Linked DNA regions of Macaca fascicularis. The protein of the gene in region 4 purifies or fractionates together with the protein of the main gene of each other region. This does not show direct contact. Links are inferred from orthologs where the notes say so. Each region holds a gene or a part of one and is shown on either strand. Other genes may lie near its edges.

Evidence for each region. Proteins that work in one complex are often made in the same cells at the same time.
Region 1: the proteins of SNAI1 (region 4) and EP300 purify together in Homo sapiens (affinity purification with western blotting; 3 studies listed by BioGRID and IntAct, with this or other methods). This does not show direct contact. The link is inferred for Macaca fascicularis from reciprocal best matches to the Homo sapiens genes SNAI1 and EP300.
Region 2: the proteins of SNAI1 (region 4) and TRIM21 purify together in Homo sapiens (affinity purification with western blotting; 3 studies listed by BioGRID, with this or other methods). This does not show direct contact. The link is inferred for Macaca fascicularis from reciprocal best matches to the Homo sapiens genes SNAI1 and TRIM21.
Region 3: the proteins of SNAI1 (region 4) and BTRC purify together in Homo sapiens (affinity purification with western blotting; 7 studies listed by BioGRID and IntAct, with this or other methods). This does not show direct contact. The link is inferred for Macaca fascicularis from reciprocal best matches to the Homo sapiens genes SNAI1 and BTRC.

The regions. Positions count from the first base shown.
Region 1 is NC_088384.1:10,439,740-10,443,267, forward strand, and holds part of EP300 (histone acetyltransferase p300), read right to left. Parts: intron 2,704-3,528; coding exon 2,422-2,703; intron 2,178-2,421; coding exon 1-2,177. UniProt on the Homo sapiens protein: Functions as a histone acetyltransferase and regulates transcription via chromatin remodeling. Acetylates all four core histones in nucleosomes. Histone acetylation gives an epigenetic tag for transcriptional activation.
Region 2 is NC_088388.1:70,009,296-70,013,775, forward strand, and holds the end of TRIM21 (E3 ubiquitin-protein ligase TRIM21), read left to right. Parts: coding exon 1-52; intron 53-1,358; coding exon 1,359-1,381; intron 1,382-2,086; coding exon 2,087-2,187; intron 2,188-2,481; coding exon 2,482-3,050; 3' UTR 3,051-3,422; downstream 3,423-4,480. UniProt on the Homo sapiens protein: E3 ubiquitin-protein ligase whose activity is dependent on E2 enzymes, UBE2D1, UBE2D2, UBE2E1 and UBE2E2.
Region 3 is NC_088383.1:110,505,229-110,510,067, forward strand, and holds part of BTRC (F-box/WD repeat-containing protein 1A), read left to right. Parts: intron 1-735; coding exon 736-985; intron 986-1,429; coding exon 1,430-1,548; intron 1,549-2,619; coding exon 2,620-2,730; intron 2,731-4,358; coding exon 4,359-4,437; intron 4,438-4,839. UniProt on the Homo sapiens protein: Substrate recognition component of a SCF (SKP1-CUL1-F-box protein) E3 ubiquitin-protein ligase complex which mediates the ubiquitination and subsequent proteasomal degradation of target proteins. Recognizes and binds to phosphorylated target proteins.
Region 4 is NC_088384.1:106,066,959-106,072,226, forward strand, and holds the start of SNAI1 (zinc finger protein SNAI1), read left to right. Parts: upstream 1-1,815; 5' UTR 1,816-1,895; coding exon 1,896-1,977; intron 1,978-2,668; coding exon 2,669-3,196; intron 3,197-5,268. UniProt on the Homo sapiens protein: Involved in induction of the epithelial to mesenchymal transition (EMT), formation and maintenance of embryonic mesoderm, growth arrest, survival and cell migration.

The DNA of each region.
Region 1 (3,528 bases), about 96 Mb from region 4:
ATGTCTAGTGTACTCTGTGAGAGGTTTGAATTCAAGTCTGAGTTATCGGTGCTGAGTCCCAGGTCTGTGGCGCTTGCACCATGGAGGTTTGCCATGCCTGGATTGCTAGCAAGCTGAGAAAGCATTGAATTCTGGTCCGGGCTGGCAAAATGCCCTTGTTCCATGGGGTTGGCCTGGGCAGCTACCAGTCCAGGATGCGGGGAACTTGTCTGTGGGGAAACGTGGTGTGGAGAAGGCTGAGGCTGCATCCTTGGAGAAGGGCTGGAGTGGGGGGGCTGGGACTGTGGCCGTGGAGAAGGGACAGGCTGCGGAGAGCGCACTTGATTGGAGAGAGAATTAGGGATCTGCTGGCCTTGTAGGTGTGGAGACTGGGCCTGATTTGGGAGCATATGCTGCTGGGGGCTCATGGGGTTGGGCTGAGCAGGAGACCCCATCTGTTGCTGAAGGAGTCGCTGCTGATAGGCCTGTAGACTGGCACCTGCCTCTGCTCCCAAGGCCTGGGGGAGCTGGCCCATCTGTCCCATATTTCCTTGTTGCATCTGTTGCATGTGATGTTGCATCCGCTGCTGCTGCTGTGGTGGGTAGCCAACTCCTTGGGGTTGCTGGAACTGGTTATGGTTAGCCATTCCTGGGCCTATTCCTGGCCCTGCTCCCTGTTGCTGCTGCTGTTGCATCATCTGTTGTCGTCTCAAGATGTCTCGGAATTGTGAAGGCATGGTGTTGTGGTTCATGTTCATCTGCTGAGACTGGGGGCTCATCCCTCCCATGGGCGGCTGGAGTTGCTGCTGGGGTTGCTGCTGGGGCAGGCCAGCCCTCTGGACGCCCGCCTGCATTGGATTCATGTTCTGCATGGCTGGATTGGAGTGGACCCCCTGCTGACCTGGCATGGTAGGTGGCTGCAGCCCTGGCTGCCCCTGGGGCATGCCAGGCTGCCCAGGGATGGGTTGTGGATTAGAGTTGGCATACTTGGCAGCCCGCTGCTTGATGAATGCAGCCAACAGCTGGGGGTTGGCGTGAAGGATACTAAGCACCTGTTGCTGCTGTAGGGGAGAGCTGGGAGACCTGAGAGTCCGCAAAAGGTTTTGTAAGGCTTGTTGAGACACAGTGCCTGGTTTGAGTGGGCTCACACCTACCTGGCCCAATCCTGGTTGTGGAGCCATGTTCAAGGGTTGACCATGCTGGGCCACTGACATCATGGCTGGCCTTGGCATCCCAGACTGTAGTTGCTGGGGCTGAGGCAATCCTCCTTGGCCCCAGGGTGGCTGTTGCTGCATCCCCGTCGGTCCCATCCCTGGCTCCAAATGCCCACTGGGACCTCTGGTCATGGGAGGTGGGTTCATACCCATGGGGGCCATGGGAGTCATCGGGGGCATCTGATGTTGGATTGGCCTTTGAAAAATTTGCACGTGGGCCATCTGGCGCTGCGTCTCTGCTGCTCTCTGAATCTGCATTGCCATTTCCACTGCTGCAGGTGGGGGCCCTGGAAGGGGTGGCTGAGCAGTCTGAGGAGGGGTTGGAGGGGTCACCTGGCCTGCTGCCTTACCCTGGGACACAGGGCCAGCAGCTTGAGTCCTGGGCAAGTAGGGTGGCATACTATTGGGAGGGGTAGGCTGAGGCTGAGAGGTGGGCTGGGGCGTCTGTGGGGTGGTTGGCTGTTGGCCAGTTGGTGTCGTTGGAGTGGCAGGAGTGGGGGAAGGGAGGCCCTGTTGCTGCCCGACCACACCAGTCCGCTGCATGCTGGCCATCCTTCTGCGAAGCATTTGGGCCTGTTGTAGTCGGTGCTGCAGCTGCTGCTGCCGGAGCTTCTGCTTGATGTTTAGGCAGAACGGCACTGGGCATTTGTTCTCCTGGCAGTGCTTGGCATGGTAGCAGCAGAGGGCGATGAGCTGCTTGCAGATGGGGCACCCGCCATTGGTTTTCCGTTTGCAACCCTTGGTATGCTGCACAACCCGCTTCATCTTCTGGCAGGATGGCAGGGAGCAATTGGCATTCCGACACTGGCAAGCATGGACCAGAGACTGGATGCAGCGCTGGATACTCAGGCGGCGAGAATCGCCTGGGCTCTGGGTGGCTGCAGCCTGCTGGTTGTTGCTCTCATCATCTAAGCCAAGACCTAGTTTCTCCATTTTGTGGTCATGGTTTTTAGTGTTATAGCAGGTGATACACAAGTCATAATCCTAGAGAAAAAACAGGAAGTGCAGGTAAACTCTCCAAGATTTAAGTCATTCAAAAGTATTTTGGATACTCTCTGGGCTGGAAAAGCCCCTTTTGTAGAACAAAAACCAGCCTCTTCAGCTCTGCCTCGCAAACACAAGGCCAGGCCCCTGCCATCCCACAGGCCTATATACAACACGAGGCTGCATGGCCCCTCAGAACAACCCTGCAGAGCTCACCTCCTTGTTCCCACAACCCAGTGCCTACCTCACAGACAGTACAGTGCCAGCGTGTCTCCACATGGTGCTTGCATTCATTGCAGGTGTAGACAAAGCGGTCCTGGCTCTGCGTGTGCAGCTCCACCAGCATGCACATGGTGGACCACTGGGCTCTTCGGAGTGAAGAGAACTCCAGGTGCTTGTCTCTTGCCAGCGTGAGAAACGCATCCCGACCATCCATCAGATCACAGGGGATGAGAGGGTCAGGATCAACAATGGGAGGCAGGGAGTTGGCAGTAGGGCCAGCAATGAGGCGGATCACAAAGAAGACCTGCAAAACACACAATCTCTTTTTTTGAGACAGGGCCTCGGTCTGTCACCCAGACTGGAGTGCAGTGGTGTGCTCTTGGCTCACTACAACCTCTGCCTCCTGGGCTCAAGCAATTATCCCACCTTGGCTTCCTGAATAGCTGAGACCACAGGCCCACACCACCACGCCTGGCTAATTTCTGCATTTTTTGTAGAGACGAGGTTTTACCATGTTACCCAGGCTAGTCTCAAACTCCTGAGCTCAAGTGATCTGCCTGTTTCAGCCTCCCAGAGTGCTGGGATTACAGGTGTGAGCAGGTAAAGCAGGCTAAGCATCAATGAGACTGGCGAATGCTTAGTTTTTTTTTTTTTTTTTTTTTTTTTTTGAGACAGTGTCTCTGTCACCCAGGGTGGAGTGCAGTGGCCAGATCTCGGCTCACTGCAAGCTCCGCCTCCCGGGTTTACGCCATTCTTCTGCCTCAGCCTCCCGAGTAGCTGGGACTACAGGCACCTGCCACCTCGCCCGGCTAGTTTTTTTTTTTTGTATTTTTTTAGTAGAGACGGGGTTTCACTGTGTTAGCCAGGATGGTCTCGATCTCCTGACCTCGTGATCCGCCCGTCTCGGCCTCCCAAAGTGCTGGGATTACAGGCTTGAGCCACCGCGCCCGGCCATGCTGAGTTAGTTTTACCATACTCCTCCTGCTCTCTTTTCCTGCTTTACCTTTTTGGTATCTTGAGACTGACTATAAATAGAACTGAAATGCACATCCTGTGATTTTTTCTCCCTTATTCAATAACTCCTTCAGAGTAAGAATGGTCTAGGTCAGGTAGAGCACCACACACAGTG
Region 2 (4,480 bases), on a different chromosome or scaffold from region 4:
CATCTCAGAGCTAGAGAGAAGGCGCCAGGGCTCAGCACTGGAACTGCTGCAGGTGAGACAGGGAGGGGTTCCCTTCTACTATTCCGGGAATAACTGAAAAAGACCAGAGCTATCTGGAACTGCCATTCGAATAAATGGACACCTGGTCCCTGGAATGTTCTTAAATAAAGTAGAATTCAAACCCACGAATGGTTTGCATTCAAGGCACAAAGTAAAGATGAAAATAAGTATAGGACCTTTTTAAAAATCAATGTATGTTGCACTTAGAATCATCTTGCATCCACCAATGATATGTTTGCCTCACTGTACGAAATGATGGACTAGATCGTCTCACAAGTCCCTTCTGTTCTAACATTCTACAGTTCTTTCTTCACCCCTGTTCACTGTGACTCAGCGTGGTCATGAGCCATTGCTTTCTGGTGTGTGCAGAAAACCTAATTGTATTGGGTTGACTTGACAGGCTCTCTTCTGCCCAAACCAGGCTTTCTTATTTATTTATTTATTTATTTATTATTTATTTATTTATTTATTTTGAGATGGAGTTTCACTCTTGTTGCCCGGGCTGGAGTACAATGGCGCGGTCTTGCCTCACTGCAACCTCCACCTCCCGGGTTCAAGCGATTCTCCTGCCTCAGCCTTACATCACCACACCTGGCTAATTTTGCATCCCTAGTAGAGATGGGGTTTCTCCATGTTGGTCAGGCTGGTCTTGAACTCCCAACCTCAGACTCCCACCTCAGCCTCCCAAAGTGCTGGGATTACAGGTGTGAGCCACCATGCCTGGCCATGAACCAGGCTTTCTAACATACTTTTAACTGAGTCTAGGATCCTGCTAGCTCCCATGTAATGGCTCCCAATCCCTATAACAAAAATATTTTCAGTGATTTGGTTTCACATACAGGAAGGGGCAACATTAAGTACCCAAGGGAACTTTAACTAACCAACCTTTCCTTCCCAAGCAATGCTAGCCCACAAATGGAACAGAGCAGTTTCTAGACACCTGAACTTGGCCATTCTCTGCCTGTGATTGGGCTTAAGCCAAGCTGGGCTATGTGCCCTCTCTGCCCTCCTTTCTTTCTCCCCTGGGGGAAAAAAATCTGGTCTTTGAGTCAGAGTCCTCAAACTGATAATCCTTCCCCAGCTGTAGGTCACATCCATGCTGGGCTTCTGGTTACCTCACAAGCATCCACACATCCTTTCTGCTTCAAGCTGGTCAGAATCATCTTTGGGGCTTTGGACCAGAGGAAGGAAAGGAACAGTTCCCCAGGGACCACAGATGGATCACATCACCCACAGGGCTAATGTCTCAGTGGCAATCCAGCAATCCAGAACTTACTCTGTGTCTCTTTTCTCCTCAGGAGGTGATAATTGTCCTGGAAAGGTAAGGAGGAGTTTTCTTTTTTAGAAGAGGGGCCAGCAGAAAGCATATATGCCTATGACAAAGGTTATTGAATTAGAAATACATGCACTGAAGTTTTCCCCATCTGGCTTCCTATTCTCAAAGACTTCATTGTCTATAAAATATTTTCTGGTCTCAGAAAGCTAATAAGTGGACATCTTAGTTGGTGATTGCCCACAGTAGTTGGATCGTAACATCTTCACACAGTAAAGCCCTGCCAAACAGGGAAATCCTGGGAAGTTCTGTGTCTTTCCAGAATTCAGACTACTGGAGCATGGCCAGCTGGAACTCCTTTTCTCAGTGGAATCTAACAAGTTACCTCCCAAAAAGAGCCATGAGTCAGACCCACAGTGTGGGCAAGACTCCTTGAGGTTCCTTGCAGAAGTGATTCAGCCTGTCTCAGATGGATTGCCTATAAAATGAAATTGAATGCATTTGCCAGGTGACCTCAGGCTTAGAGAGGAGAGACAGACTGTCCACATGCTGCAGCCTATAACCAGGAACTCCTGGGTAGAAACTAAATCCTGCATTGTTTGCCTCTCACACCCACCCCTGAAGACTTGAACACCAGAAGTGTTTGTAAATTTGAGTTGAATTAAATTATCAGAGTCCTCCACAATGGAGGTTATAGTGTTAGGGTTTGGGATAGGAGTAAGAGACAGGAGTCTCAAACTCTCTTTCCCCCAGGAGTGAGTCCTGGAACCTGAAGGGCCTGGATATTGCCTCTCCAGAACTCAGGAGTGTGTGCCATGTGCCAGGGCTGAAGAAGATGCTGAGGACATGTGCAGGTGAGGCAAGCTCTAGGAATTTTGCGGGGGATAATGGGGGTGCAGAGTAGATCCCAGGGTCAGGGAGCCTGGATGGCAACTTGGAGGAGAGATGGAAGGTCAGAGCAGGGGGAGCAGAGATGGAGGTAAGGAAGATGGTTTCTTCAAAGGTCAGGACCAAGGCAAGAACTGGCTGATGGTCATTTCCTCACACAGGGAGGTTGACCCCTCATGCTTGCCCAAAATCCCCCCACCACAGGCACAGAGTTAGTGACTCCCCCCATGCAAGACATGACTATGGTCCTCTCTCTGCAGTCCACATCACTCTGGATCCAGACACAGCCAATCCATGGCTCATACTTTCAGAAGATCGGAGACAAGTGAGGCTTGGAGACACCCAGCAGAGCATACCTGGAAATGAAGAGAGATTTGATAGTTATCCTATGGTCCTGGGTGCCCAGCACTTCCACTCTGGAAAACATTACTGGGAGGTAGATGTGACAGGAAAGGAGGCCTGGGACCTGGGTGTCTGCAGAGACTCTGTGCGCAGGAAGGGGCACTTTTTGCTTAGTTCCAAGAGTGGCTTCTGGACAATTTGGTTGTGGAACAAACAAAAATATGAGGCTGGCACCTACCCCCAGACCCCCCTCCACCTTCAGGTGCCTCCATGCCAAATTGGGATTTTCCTGGACTATGAGGCCGGCATGGTCTCCTTCTACAACATCACTGACCATGGCTCCCTCATCTACTCCTTCTCTGAATGTGCCTTTACAGGACCTCTGCGGCCCTTCTTCAGTCCTGGTTTCAATGACGGAGGAAGAAACACAGCCCCTCTAACCCTCTGTCCACTAAATATTGGATCACAAGGATCCACTGACTATTGATGGCTTTCTCTGGACACTGCCATTCTCCCCATTGGCACCACTTCTCAGCCACAAACCCTGCCTATTTTCCCCATGAACTCTGAACCACCTTTCTCTCTGCAGAGGCATCTGGATCCCAGCAAGCGAGCTTTAGCAGGGAAGTCACTTCATCATCAACATTCCTGCCCCAGATGGCTTTGTGATTCCCTCCTTATATTTGGCCCAAACTCATCTTGATCAACCAAAAACGTGTTTCTGCCTTCTTTATGGGACTTAAGTTTTGTTTTCTCCTCTCCATCTCTAGGGTGTCATCTTTGATGAGATCTCTATTATATCTTGTATGGTTTGCAAAAAGACTTCCTAAAAGTAAAAAATAAAATTTAAAAAACCGTGTCTCAGTCTATCTCATTCAGTCCTCGTTCCTTAATCCTGAAATACTTGATAACTCTGAATATGATTAATAGTAACGTGTCTTTAACATTGCACGTTTTTTTCCTGCCTGGGCTGTCCCCTCTTCTCCATTTGAAATATTTGATCTTGGACTGAAGACCCAGGTCAAGAATCTTCTGTACTTCCCCATTACAGCCTTCCCCATCATAGCCGCTGTGGTGATAGAAGGCCATCTGGGCTCTGATCGCTGCCTGAGGGGATATTACCTCCTTACCATGATGGAACACCTGCTTTTGAAATACAAAGTTCTCCTAGGGTTGGGGTAGCTCTGTGGACCTCTGCATCTCTGACCCTCACGGACCTGAAGCACCTTCTGTCCATGTTCTCAGTAAGTGACGAGTGATAACATCAAAGTTCCTGGAGCTCTCTGTCCCTGCAAGGTCAAGGCTGGGCTGCCCTATGCTTTCAGTATTCTTCTAGAAAACTGGCCAACTCCCGTGCCCCTTGGAATATCCAATTTTAATGATATTTCTCTCTGGAATGCGTCTTTCTTGGGCAAAGTTTTCTGACTAATGCTCACCTGCTACTCACCTGTTGTGTGGCCCGGTTCCTAACAAGCCATGGACCTGTACCAGTCCACGGCCAGGGGGTTGGGGCTCCTGTTCTTAATGATCAGGAATGTGTAGTTTTTTACATTTTTTATTGACATATATGTGCATTCAGAAAAGTGCACATAGCATTCACATCAATGATTCTTTTTGTAAAAAGTTGAATGGAATCCTGTAATAGAACCCATACAGAACCAGAACATTCCCAGCACCCCAGCAGATCCAGATGAGCTCCCTTCAAGTCACAGCCCACGAAGGTAATCACTATCCTCACATATACAACTCGATTTATTTTGATATTTTGAATCCTGTGTAACTACAGTACCCATTATTTTATGCCTAACTTCATTTTTTTTATTCTATTATACTTTAAGTTCTAGGGTACATGTGCAGAACATGCAGGTTTGTTACACAGGTATACACGTGCCATGGTAGTTTGCTGCAACCATCAAC
Region 3 (4,839 bases), on a different chromosome or scaffold from region 4:
CCCACAGAATCTGAAACACTGTAGATGCTAACATCATTTATAAAGAAAAGATGATTTTCTATAAAAGGGGGCTAAACTGGAAAAAGGAAATAACATGTTATAAAACCCAAAGTAAATAAACAAAAATAGAATAATCAAAATATATCATCACACAAAATTCTCAAGCTATCCCAGGACCCCACACTCTGCTGTGAAGCCCATATTTACAATGCAGGGGCTGTTTTAAACCCCTGCCTACTTCAAAACACAGAAATGGGGGCTTAGAATTAGAGTCATGATTATCTTGGCCTTTGACCTTTATGATAAAACCTGAGATCCAGGGTAATCAAACTCAAATTCACATTACTAAGTATGTGACAGAAGCATCTTAGCCTATGTCATTTCTGGCTCCTGAGGGCTATCATTGGGATGGGCACTAATGCTACTGTTATTATTCAGATTCCCCATTTAAAATGTATCTTACTAATGGTATCCAATTGAATGTCAGAAGTTTTACAGTCTGGGCCAAATTATTAGGTGACAGTGGCTGCCACCTCATCCTTGCCCTCCACAACTTGCCCATATTTCAAGCAGTATGTCTTAAGGACACACTGGCAGCATCCCATTCCCTTTCTTCTCCCACTCTCCCGGTCCGGCACTCTCTCTAAATATAAGGGGTGGAAGGGTGCATGATGGTCAAATATAGGTAACAGACTGTAGCTTGAGTACCATCTAAATCTCATCTGTCGCTTCCAGAGTGTGGGATGTAAATACAGGTGAAATGCTAAACACGTTGATTCACCATTGTGAAGCAGTTCTGCACTTGCGTTTCAATAATGGCATGATGGTGACCTGCTCCAAAGATCGTTCCATTGCTGTATGGGATATGGCCTCCCCAACTGACATTACCCTCCGGAGGGTGCTGGTCGGACACCGAGCTGCTGTCAATGTTGTAGACTTTGATGACAAGTACATCGTTTCTGCATCTGGGGATAGAACTATAAAGGTAATAAGGCATTTTTCAGTAAGTTTCCAACTTAGAATGGGGAAATTCATATGAAAATTTGATCAGGGGCAATTTCATATTTAAACATTGGTGCAGAAAAATGTAATATTTAATTCAGAGACTATTCTACAAGTGAAAAGGTAATAAGTGAGACGTTGTGTGACAATTTGGCCGAGGTATTTTATTCCTATAAATAATGGTGAGTGTGAGAAGATACTAACCCTAGAAGAGTAAATCAATTTGAGGAATTCTCATGTGATAACAGCCAACTGCAAATTAGCCTCTGTTACCATGAATTTAAATTGTCCTTTGTTTTATTTGTTTGAGAAGTTGACTTCCCTCTAATGGTTCAGCCCTGTTTTCTGCTTCCCTAAGACTCCAGTTGCCATAGATTTTACCAGTAAAAGCACCAAATCAACTGCTCAATGCCATTTTCTTTTTCAGGTATGGAACACAAGTACTTGTGAATTTGTAAGGACCTTAAATGGACACAAACGAGGCATTGCCTGTTTGCAGTACAGGGACAGGCTGGTAGTGAGTGGCTCATCTGACAACACTATCAGGTGAGCACCTAGTACCTTGTATCATAAGGGATCGATATTATGCTCCCATTCATTACTAATGCACAGATCATACAAGTCTGTAATTTTGTTATGTTTATAATCAACTGTGTTTCCTTTCTGTAGCTTCTTACAGATCAGAAGTTTGCCCCAAGCAGAGAAGCAGCACAGCAAAGCCTTTTGTTGCCCTTCTTTTTAAATTTCTCCTGTCTACAGTTGAAAAGTGCTAATAAACAGCTAAAAGCCTTTTCTTTGCCATTGTTTTCAAGAAATGAAAAGATTTGTTTCCTTACTAGAAATTATGTAATTTTTGTCTTAGCATTACATAATTGGCCAGAGTTACCTGTATTTGAAATTATGAAGGTTTCACAGTTGGAAGCCCTTTTTGGGGTGTTCTCTTCACAAAGACGAATGACATAGTCATGATTAGAATTTGGAAGATTTATCCATCATTACCCTTCAGTGAAGTACTAAAAGGATGAAAAGGCCATTAAAAAAACAACAGATAGAGCTACTGTTTGTTATATCTAAGGAAATTATTCCTAGAAGTCACTTGAATTGCTCTGAAAACATACAGTTTTTTAAATTAGTACACAAAAGTTTTTGAGAACTGACTTTGCATTTCCATTCTCTGAGAATAACTGTCCTGGACAGTGGTAAAAGAAGTGTCCACCATGGCAGAGGGGGAGGTGCTTTGTGAGAACAGGACATCGCTGATAATCTGTATCTTATTCAGTTTGATGACTTCAGGAAACTACTTTCTTAGCTCAGTCATTTCCTGCTCAGGCAACTGTGTGCATTGAGTTCGTTTTTATACCTGGAAGAACCTGTTTACAGAATTATATAAAGCACTGTGCTTTGAAAATACATTTTATGTTTGAACTTAAACCTACATTTTTCTGTGTGAGTTATATAGCAGAAAGGAAATAAATTACATTGAAAGCAGTACATATCTGTGTGGGTGGTGATTGATTTTATTTTGTGAATTTTTAGAAGGCATATAAAGTGTATTATAACATTCCAGGCTTAGAAAAGAATACGTGAAAATTCACTTGACTCAATTTTCTCTTCCAGATTATGGGACATAGAATGTGGTGCATGTTTACGAGTGTTAGAAGGCCATGAGGAATTGGTGCGTTGTATTCGATTTGATAACAAGAGGATAGTCAGTGGGGCCTATGATGGGTGAGTGTGCTAACAGGGTGTAAAAAGAGAAAATCTACGTCTTAATCCTTCCTTATGTTTATGGTGTTAAACATTACCATTCCTTGTTTCTAAAGCTTATAGATTTTACACAAAGTGATACCATATTTCTTTAATCTGTATATTTACCTCTCCTTGGTTTAGTGTCCTGAAATATTCTTTCCAATCATTTTATTATACTTGTTTGCACATGGTTGTCATTCATATTTTGGTTATTTGGTTATGTATTTCACTGTTTTGCCCTGTAAAGCAAAACAAGAAAAACCCAGTGTTAACAGGCTACCCATGTAAAGTGGTAACCTGTTAACAAAACACAAACACTAGAGGGCAGTATTTGGGGATTTAGTGTGGTAAGATCTCCAATTTTGATCTCTTGGATTTTTTATCTCTTTTAGTAATTTTTAAAAGTACAGTTCTCTTGTCATCACTTGTCATCCTAGCATTTCATTTATGAGTTTAGTCATCTTTATTTTCTTCTAATTTCTAGTGGTTATGGAATCCATTAATGTTGTGAATGGACCCCACGTCCACCAATCCTAAGCACAGTGGCTTGTGCATGTAATCCCAACACTTTGGGAGACCGAGACAGGTGGATACTTGAGGTCAGGAGTTCAAGACCAGCCTGGCCAACATGGCAAAACCCAGTCTCTACTAAAAGTACAAAAATTAGCCAGGTGTGGTTGCAGGTGCCTGTAATCTCAGCTACTCAGGAGACTGAGGCAGGAGAATTGCTTGAACCAGGGAGGCAGAGGTTGCAGTGAGCCAAGATTGCACCACCATGCTCCAGCCTGGGCGACAGAGCAAGACTCCGTCTCCAAAAAAAAAAAAAAAAAAAAAAAAGTTATTCACTTACGAAGGACTCCTTATCATTTCTTTTTGTCAAACTGCCTGATTTGGGGGGTGAAGGGTAGAAAGCTACAGTTCAAATATTGGCAACTTTTTAAATATCAGAAACTAACAACATTATTTTAGTTCATGAGCTAACTATACTGATACATTAATTAGCCAATGCAAGCAGCAAGAAGCTGCTCACTTCTTCTGCTTTGGGTCAGCCATCACTGTTACAACCTTGGGAAACTGTTCAGAGTGTGGTGACATGTTCCAGCTTGGTCAAGACAATATTTTCTTATTGCCCTGGCTTTGATCTGTACCCACCTGTCTTGGAATTTGTCTGTTATGTACCTTGAGGAAACATGGCCTATAAAAGGTTGTTGGAAGAGCTACACTTATTTAAATCAAAAGATGAGGGCTTACTTATATAAACTCCATTGCTCTTACATGGACCCCAGTCCCTCAGTACATGTGACCTGGGCCACTCTTAGAAGTGACCAGGAAGAGGATGCCTCAGAGTTGTAGATTTCTAGGTCTATGTAATATCATTAGGAGGTCTAATGTACAAGATCTCCTCTTGATCCCAAAGTGTGGTTTAACTTTACTATTAAATGTCTTCAGTTTGGTTAAAGCTAGCCTGTTTCTCATTTGTAGGTTAATCACGTACATTTCAACTATACTCACCATCCATATTTATTGCCATGAATTTCTGCTGTTCTTCCCTGTGTTCTCTTACTTTTGCTTTTAACTAGCATTTTTGTCCCCTTTTTGATCTTTAGAAAAATTAAAGTGTGGGATCTTGTGGCTGCTTTGGACCCCCGTGCTCCTGCAGGGACACTCTGTCTACGGACCCTTGTGGTAAGAGCCTTGCTGTTAGAGCATTGGAGAGCAGGTGGGGGAAGAAATTAAACATTGATGTGCTGTGGAATATGGATTTGAATTTAATAGTTACAACCTCACAAAACCTACAACTAAGTGGTAAGGCAACCAGTACATGACAATAAAATATGTTTATATAATTCCTTTCATCCAAAAATGCTTTAGAGACTATATATGGAGAGAAATGTGGCAGCTGTTTAACAGCTGCACAGAAACTCTACACAACAGTTTAGTGCAGGAAGTGAATAAGAATTCTGTATCCACCAGAAACAGCAGGGGGTACTAAGGGAGAGAGAATATAATTACTCAAATTGGAACCTGTCCAAAATCTGAGGACCTGTACACCTGTGCCTTCAAAAATTACCCTGGGGGCTGGGTGCG
Region 4 (5,268 bases):
GAAGCCAGCGTGAAGATCTAGGAGCAAAAGACGTAGGGGAGAGGAGGAGCAGCAGGTGCCACGGTGGGAAAGGTCTGGGATGTTGGAGGAACAGAAGGAAGGGTGGGGGAGGGATCCTTGTTCATGGGGGAGGGAGAGAGGCTCAAGCCAAGGTCAGCCGGGGTCAGAGCAGCGGGGCCGAGTTGGCCGAGGAAAGGACTTTGGCTTTTACTCTGAGACAGGCGCATGGGAGGGTTTGAGCAGAGGAGGGGGTGCTCTGGCCTCACTCTGGCTTCCAGCAGAGGATCCTGATTGGAGCTAAATTGACACGGGAGGGAGAGTATTCCGCCTAATAACTGCTTCCTGCCTATGTCCTCCACCCTACTCCCCACTCTCCAGCTAGAAACAGGGGAAGACGATTTTGTTCACGGCTGTTACATCCGGCACCAAGTGACCAAAACAGACAGTAGTTCTGCCCTTCATGTTGCTGGTGGTGGTGTGGGGTGCTTATAGGTTTTTCTAGTCTTCCTTCACAGGTGGAAACAAGAACGGTGAGACCTGTGAGGTTTATTTCAGCGCTACTCCCGGGCCTGGTATGCCTCCCAGGGAAGCTGGGGTGGGGGTGCAGCTGCCCCTCACCTGGGCCCACCCCACATGCATTCAGTCAGGGCCCCTACAGAGCAACGTTAGAGCCTTTAGACACAGGATCGAGGATCTTCACAGGGGTGAGGAGACACGCCCGGCCCATCCCTTCTTTCTCCCGCCGGCCTACAAGGATCTTTTTCTACGAAACTCTAACCAGGTCCCTCGTCAGCTGAAAATCCTTCGGTGGCTCCCCAGTGCCTTTGAGGCAAAGTCCAACCTCCTACGAGGCCCTGGGGCACAGCACATCTGACCCCTCCGGGCCTGCCCACCCCACGCCATCCCTGAGAGCTGCTCTCTAGGAGTTACTCTGAAGCAGTTGCCACTTCTTCCCTCGGGCCTTTTCCCTTGATAATTCTTCACTTCCTCTGGGAAGTCACCCCGACCCCCTGTCAGGTGACCCGCCTCTTAACGGTCGCTGCGTCCCGTCTCTCCCCCGCCAAAGCACACTTCCCTTTGCATTGTAATTGTCTGTTTACTTCGTCTGTCTCCCCCACTGGACCGGGAGCTACCCTTCGGGAGAGGCCTTGAATGTCCTGTCCGGGGCTGTGCCCTGCCCCAGGTACAGCTGGGCCCTCCGCAAACACTGGCTAAGGGAAGGAACGGGCGCTCTTCGCTAGCTGGGCCAGGCTGCTTTGCAAAACGGCCGTAGCATTTCACGCCGCCAGGAGCCACGTGCGGTGTCCGTTTCCTCGCTTCCTCCCCAGCAATGTGCATTTCCCTCGTCAATGCCACGCTCTCCAGGCGCCAGCCGGGCGGAGGAAATTTCCGCCCCCTCCTAAGCCCGAGGCGGGGGCGGGCGTCGGAAGGTCAGGTGTCCCGGCCCGCGCGCAGCGCCAGGGGGCGTCAGAAGCGCTCCGACCACGGGGCGCTGAGCAGGTGGGCGCGCGGCGTTCTGGCGGGGTCCCACCTCGCAGGGGCCTCGCTTCGCTCGACGTCCCGCCCCGGACAGTCCGAGCACCACGGACGACCCGCGCTGCGCCTGCGAACTCCGCCTCGGAGGAGCCCCCGCCCGGGCTCCCAGCGCCACGCGGCGCGAGCCCGGCCAGCCCCCGGCGCACCTGCTCGGGGAGTGGCCTTCGGCGGAGACGGGCCTCCGATTGGCGCGGAGGTGACAAAGGGGCGTGGCAGATGAGGCCCCTCCCCTCCCACCCCCTTGGAGTATTTAAGGGAGTTGGCGGCGCGGCTGCTCTCATTGCGCCGCGGTCCGGCCTTGTGAGTGGTACGTTTGCGCTGCTCCTGCGCGACTCGGCGACCCCAGTGCCTCGGCCACCATGCCGCGCTCTTTCCTCGTCAGAAAGCCCTCCGACCCCAATCGGAAGCCTAACTACAGCGAGCTGCAGGACTCTAATCCAGGTGTGTTGGAGGGGTGGTGGGCTCCAGGAGGTTTGGGGGAGACAGGCGAAGGCTGCGTGGGGGCCACCTGAGGGAGGCGGCCTGTCTGAGCCAGGATCGAGTCACAGGGTGTTTTGTGGAGCATTGCGGGCTCGGGCTCGGGCTCGGGAGACCGGGCAGGTGGGTCCCCAGTCCTGGGGATCGGTCTGGGTGGTTGGGGGAGTGCTGTGTAGAGAGCAGGGGTTTTGTGCTTGGGTGGCCTGTGTAGCCGGCGAGAGGCGGAGGAGCTCCGCGAGAGTGGGAGAGGAGGCCTGTGTCAGGAAGGCCCTCTGGACGCTGCTGGGGAGAGTCCGGAGTCCAGAGGGTTGAGGGGAGGGGTGGGGAGACGAGATGTGTGTGAGGAGGGGGATTGGGGCAGGGTGGTGGCTCCAGGGCTGGGGTGATGGGGTTCTGGCCTCAGGCTGGGGACTTGGGACTTAGGAGAGGGAGATCTGGAAATGACCCCCTTCAACTGGGGGTCCTACCTGTGAGAGACTCAGATTGGGTGACCTGGGCCAGGAGGGCAGGAACCTGGTCTGTCCTGTGGATCATTTTTTTGATCTAATTATGTGTTGAGAATCAGCCCTACCCAGCCCCTGGCCAGCGGTGGGTTCATGTTTGTTGATTGAGTGAATGATTTAATTAACGCCTGACTCTGCTTTTTCTCTCTCAGAGTTTACCTTCCAGCAGCCCTACGACCAGGCCCACCTGCTGGCAGCCATCCCACCTCCAGAGATCCTCAATCCCACCGCCTCGCTGCCAATGCTCATCTGGGACTCTGTCCTGGCGCCCCAAGCCCAGCCAATTGCCTGGGCCTCCCTTCGGCCCCAGGAGAGTCCCAGGGCGGCAGAGCTGACCTCCCTGTCGGACGAGGACAGTGGGAAAGGCTCCCAGCCTCCCAGCCCACCCTCACCGGCTACTTCGTCCTTCTCCTCTACTTCAGCCTCTTCCTTGGAGGCTGAGGCCTATGCTGCCTTCCCAGGCTTGGGCCAAGTGCCCAAGCAGCTGGCCCAGCTCTCTGAGGCCAAGGATCTCCAGTCTCGAAAGGCCTTCAACTGCAAATACTGCAACAAGGAATACCTCAGCCTGGGTGCCCTCAAGATGCACATCCGAAGCCACACGCTGCCCTGCGTCTGCGGAACCTGCGGGAAGGCCTTCTCCAGGCCCTGGCTGCTACAAGGCCATGTCCGGACCCACACTGGTAAGTGCCCCTCCAGGCGCCCCCACCGTTGCTTTCTGTGGCAGCTTTGTGAATTGGGACTTGCTGTTCTCATTCGCAAAGTTGTGGACACTGAGGCCCCGAGTCTCCTAACTTCTAGCTCAAGTTCAGGGGCCTGCTCTCTGGAAATGTTTGGCAGAAACGTTCCTTCATCAGCTAAGCAGATGAGCAAAGCAGACACCTTCCCAATCCCTGCAGCCTGTTTCTCAGCCAAATGGGCTGGAGCTGGATATCGGAAAAGTGCAACCAACACCTTGCTCTGGGGGCCACAGGTGTGAAGGGGCCCACCCAGCCCCACCCTCTCCCGGTCCGCCCCCTCCCTAGCCAGACAGGATGTTGTCAGACCCCCCACCTGGCTCTGAATCCTTTGAGAACTTTCTCAAAGCTTAGGCTGATGTTTCACTTCTGTGAGCCTCATTTTCTCTATCTTTCAGATGGGCATGAGAACAGCTTGTGGGGTTTCTGTACGGGCTAAATGCAGGAATGCATATGGGAATCACCTGGCAAAGTGCCGGGTACCTGCTAAACTGTCACAAAAATGGTTCCTTGGCATTTGCTCTGCTTCCCTGCTGTGTGACTTTGGGCAAGCAACTTAACCTCTCTGAGACTCGGGAGAATTATGATGGCATATGTTTTAGAGAGTGGCTGTAGGCCGGGCGCAGTGGCTCAAGCCTGTAATCCCAGCACTTTGGGAGGCCGAGACGGGCGGATCACAAGGTCAGGAGATCGAGACCAGCCTGGCTAACATGGTGAAACCCCGTCTCTACTAAAAAAAATACAAAAAACTAGCCGGGTGAGGTGGCAGGCGCCTGTAGTCCCAGCTACTCGGGAGGCTGAGGCAGGAGAATGGCGTAGACCCGGGAGGCGGAGCTGAGATGCGGCCACTGCACTCCAGCCTGGGCGACAGAGCGAGACTCCGTCTCAAAAAAAAAAAAAAAAAAAGAGAGTGGCTGTAAAGGTGGCTAATCACTTTATAGTAATTTATTATACCCGAATAGTTCTCAGGTCGGCTTCCCCACCCCCACTCAATCCTAGCACACACACCAGAAAACAGCAATTTTAGGGCAGAAAACACAATCACGTCTTTCGAAAATTTACTAAATATGTAGAAAACTTTCTGGACATGGAGAAAAGGTAGAACTTTTTAGAACTTGAACGGTGGCAGCCACTGTGCCTGGAGCTGCTCTTTGGAGAGGGACAGTTGAGGGAGAAGATTCCACAGGGTTCAAGCTGGCCAGGTTCTACCATTCCTGGCCCGGCGCCTGACCTCTGAGCAGTGAGGGTCAGTGAGGTATCTGGGAGGACTGGCATTTCGCGGGCTTTATTGGCATCTTATTCGACTAAGGCTACCCATTTCTTTTCCTTCCTGCACCAGTAGCCCTGATTTTAACATGTAAAGGTCCAACTGCTGGGCTCCCCGTGCCTGCCCAGCTCACAGGGCTCTATTTTGGGAGATTTGAACCCCTCAGGATGCTGCTCTCCTGCCTGCCTCTCTCGCCTCCCATCCGGACATTATTTTAATGTAAAGGCATGGCTGAGGCACAGAAATCCCCTTGAAATGTATCATTTCGGTCCTCATTGACTCCCATTGTGTGCCTTAATGGTGGGCCCAGTGGGTGGGGGCTGGGAGGGGTGGAGCAGGTGCATGGGGCAGGGGTGCCCAGCACCTGTTCCAGTCGCAGCTGCTGGCGCACTGCGTGGCAGGCCCCTTTAATCCGGGGGTATCGCATGTACGGTGCCCCCCTCGGCGCCCTTTGTCCCCACCGGCCTGGTGCCGATTTCACACTTGCCAGGAGTACCATGAAGGCGTCTGGGGGGCGAGGGATCTGAGGAGTGGGGGTCAGTGCCTCCTGCATATGCGTGCAGCCCCCGCCCCCAGCCCATCATGTCCTAGAATGTCTCCTTCCCCTTTTGTTCGGGTTTGTGTCTCATCACACTTAGAGCACTTACTGTGCAGGAGGTAGTGCTCGGGACTTCACCAACAGCCCTGGGAAGGGAAGGGGGGTGCCATCGTAACTCCAGTCTTACAAATGGACTCCAGCCCCTTTTCCAGA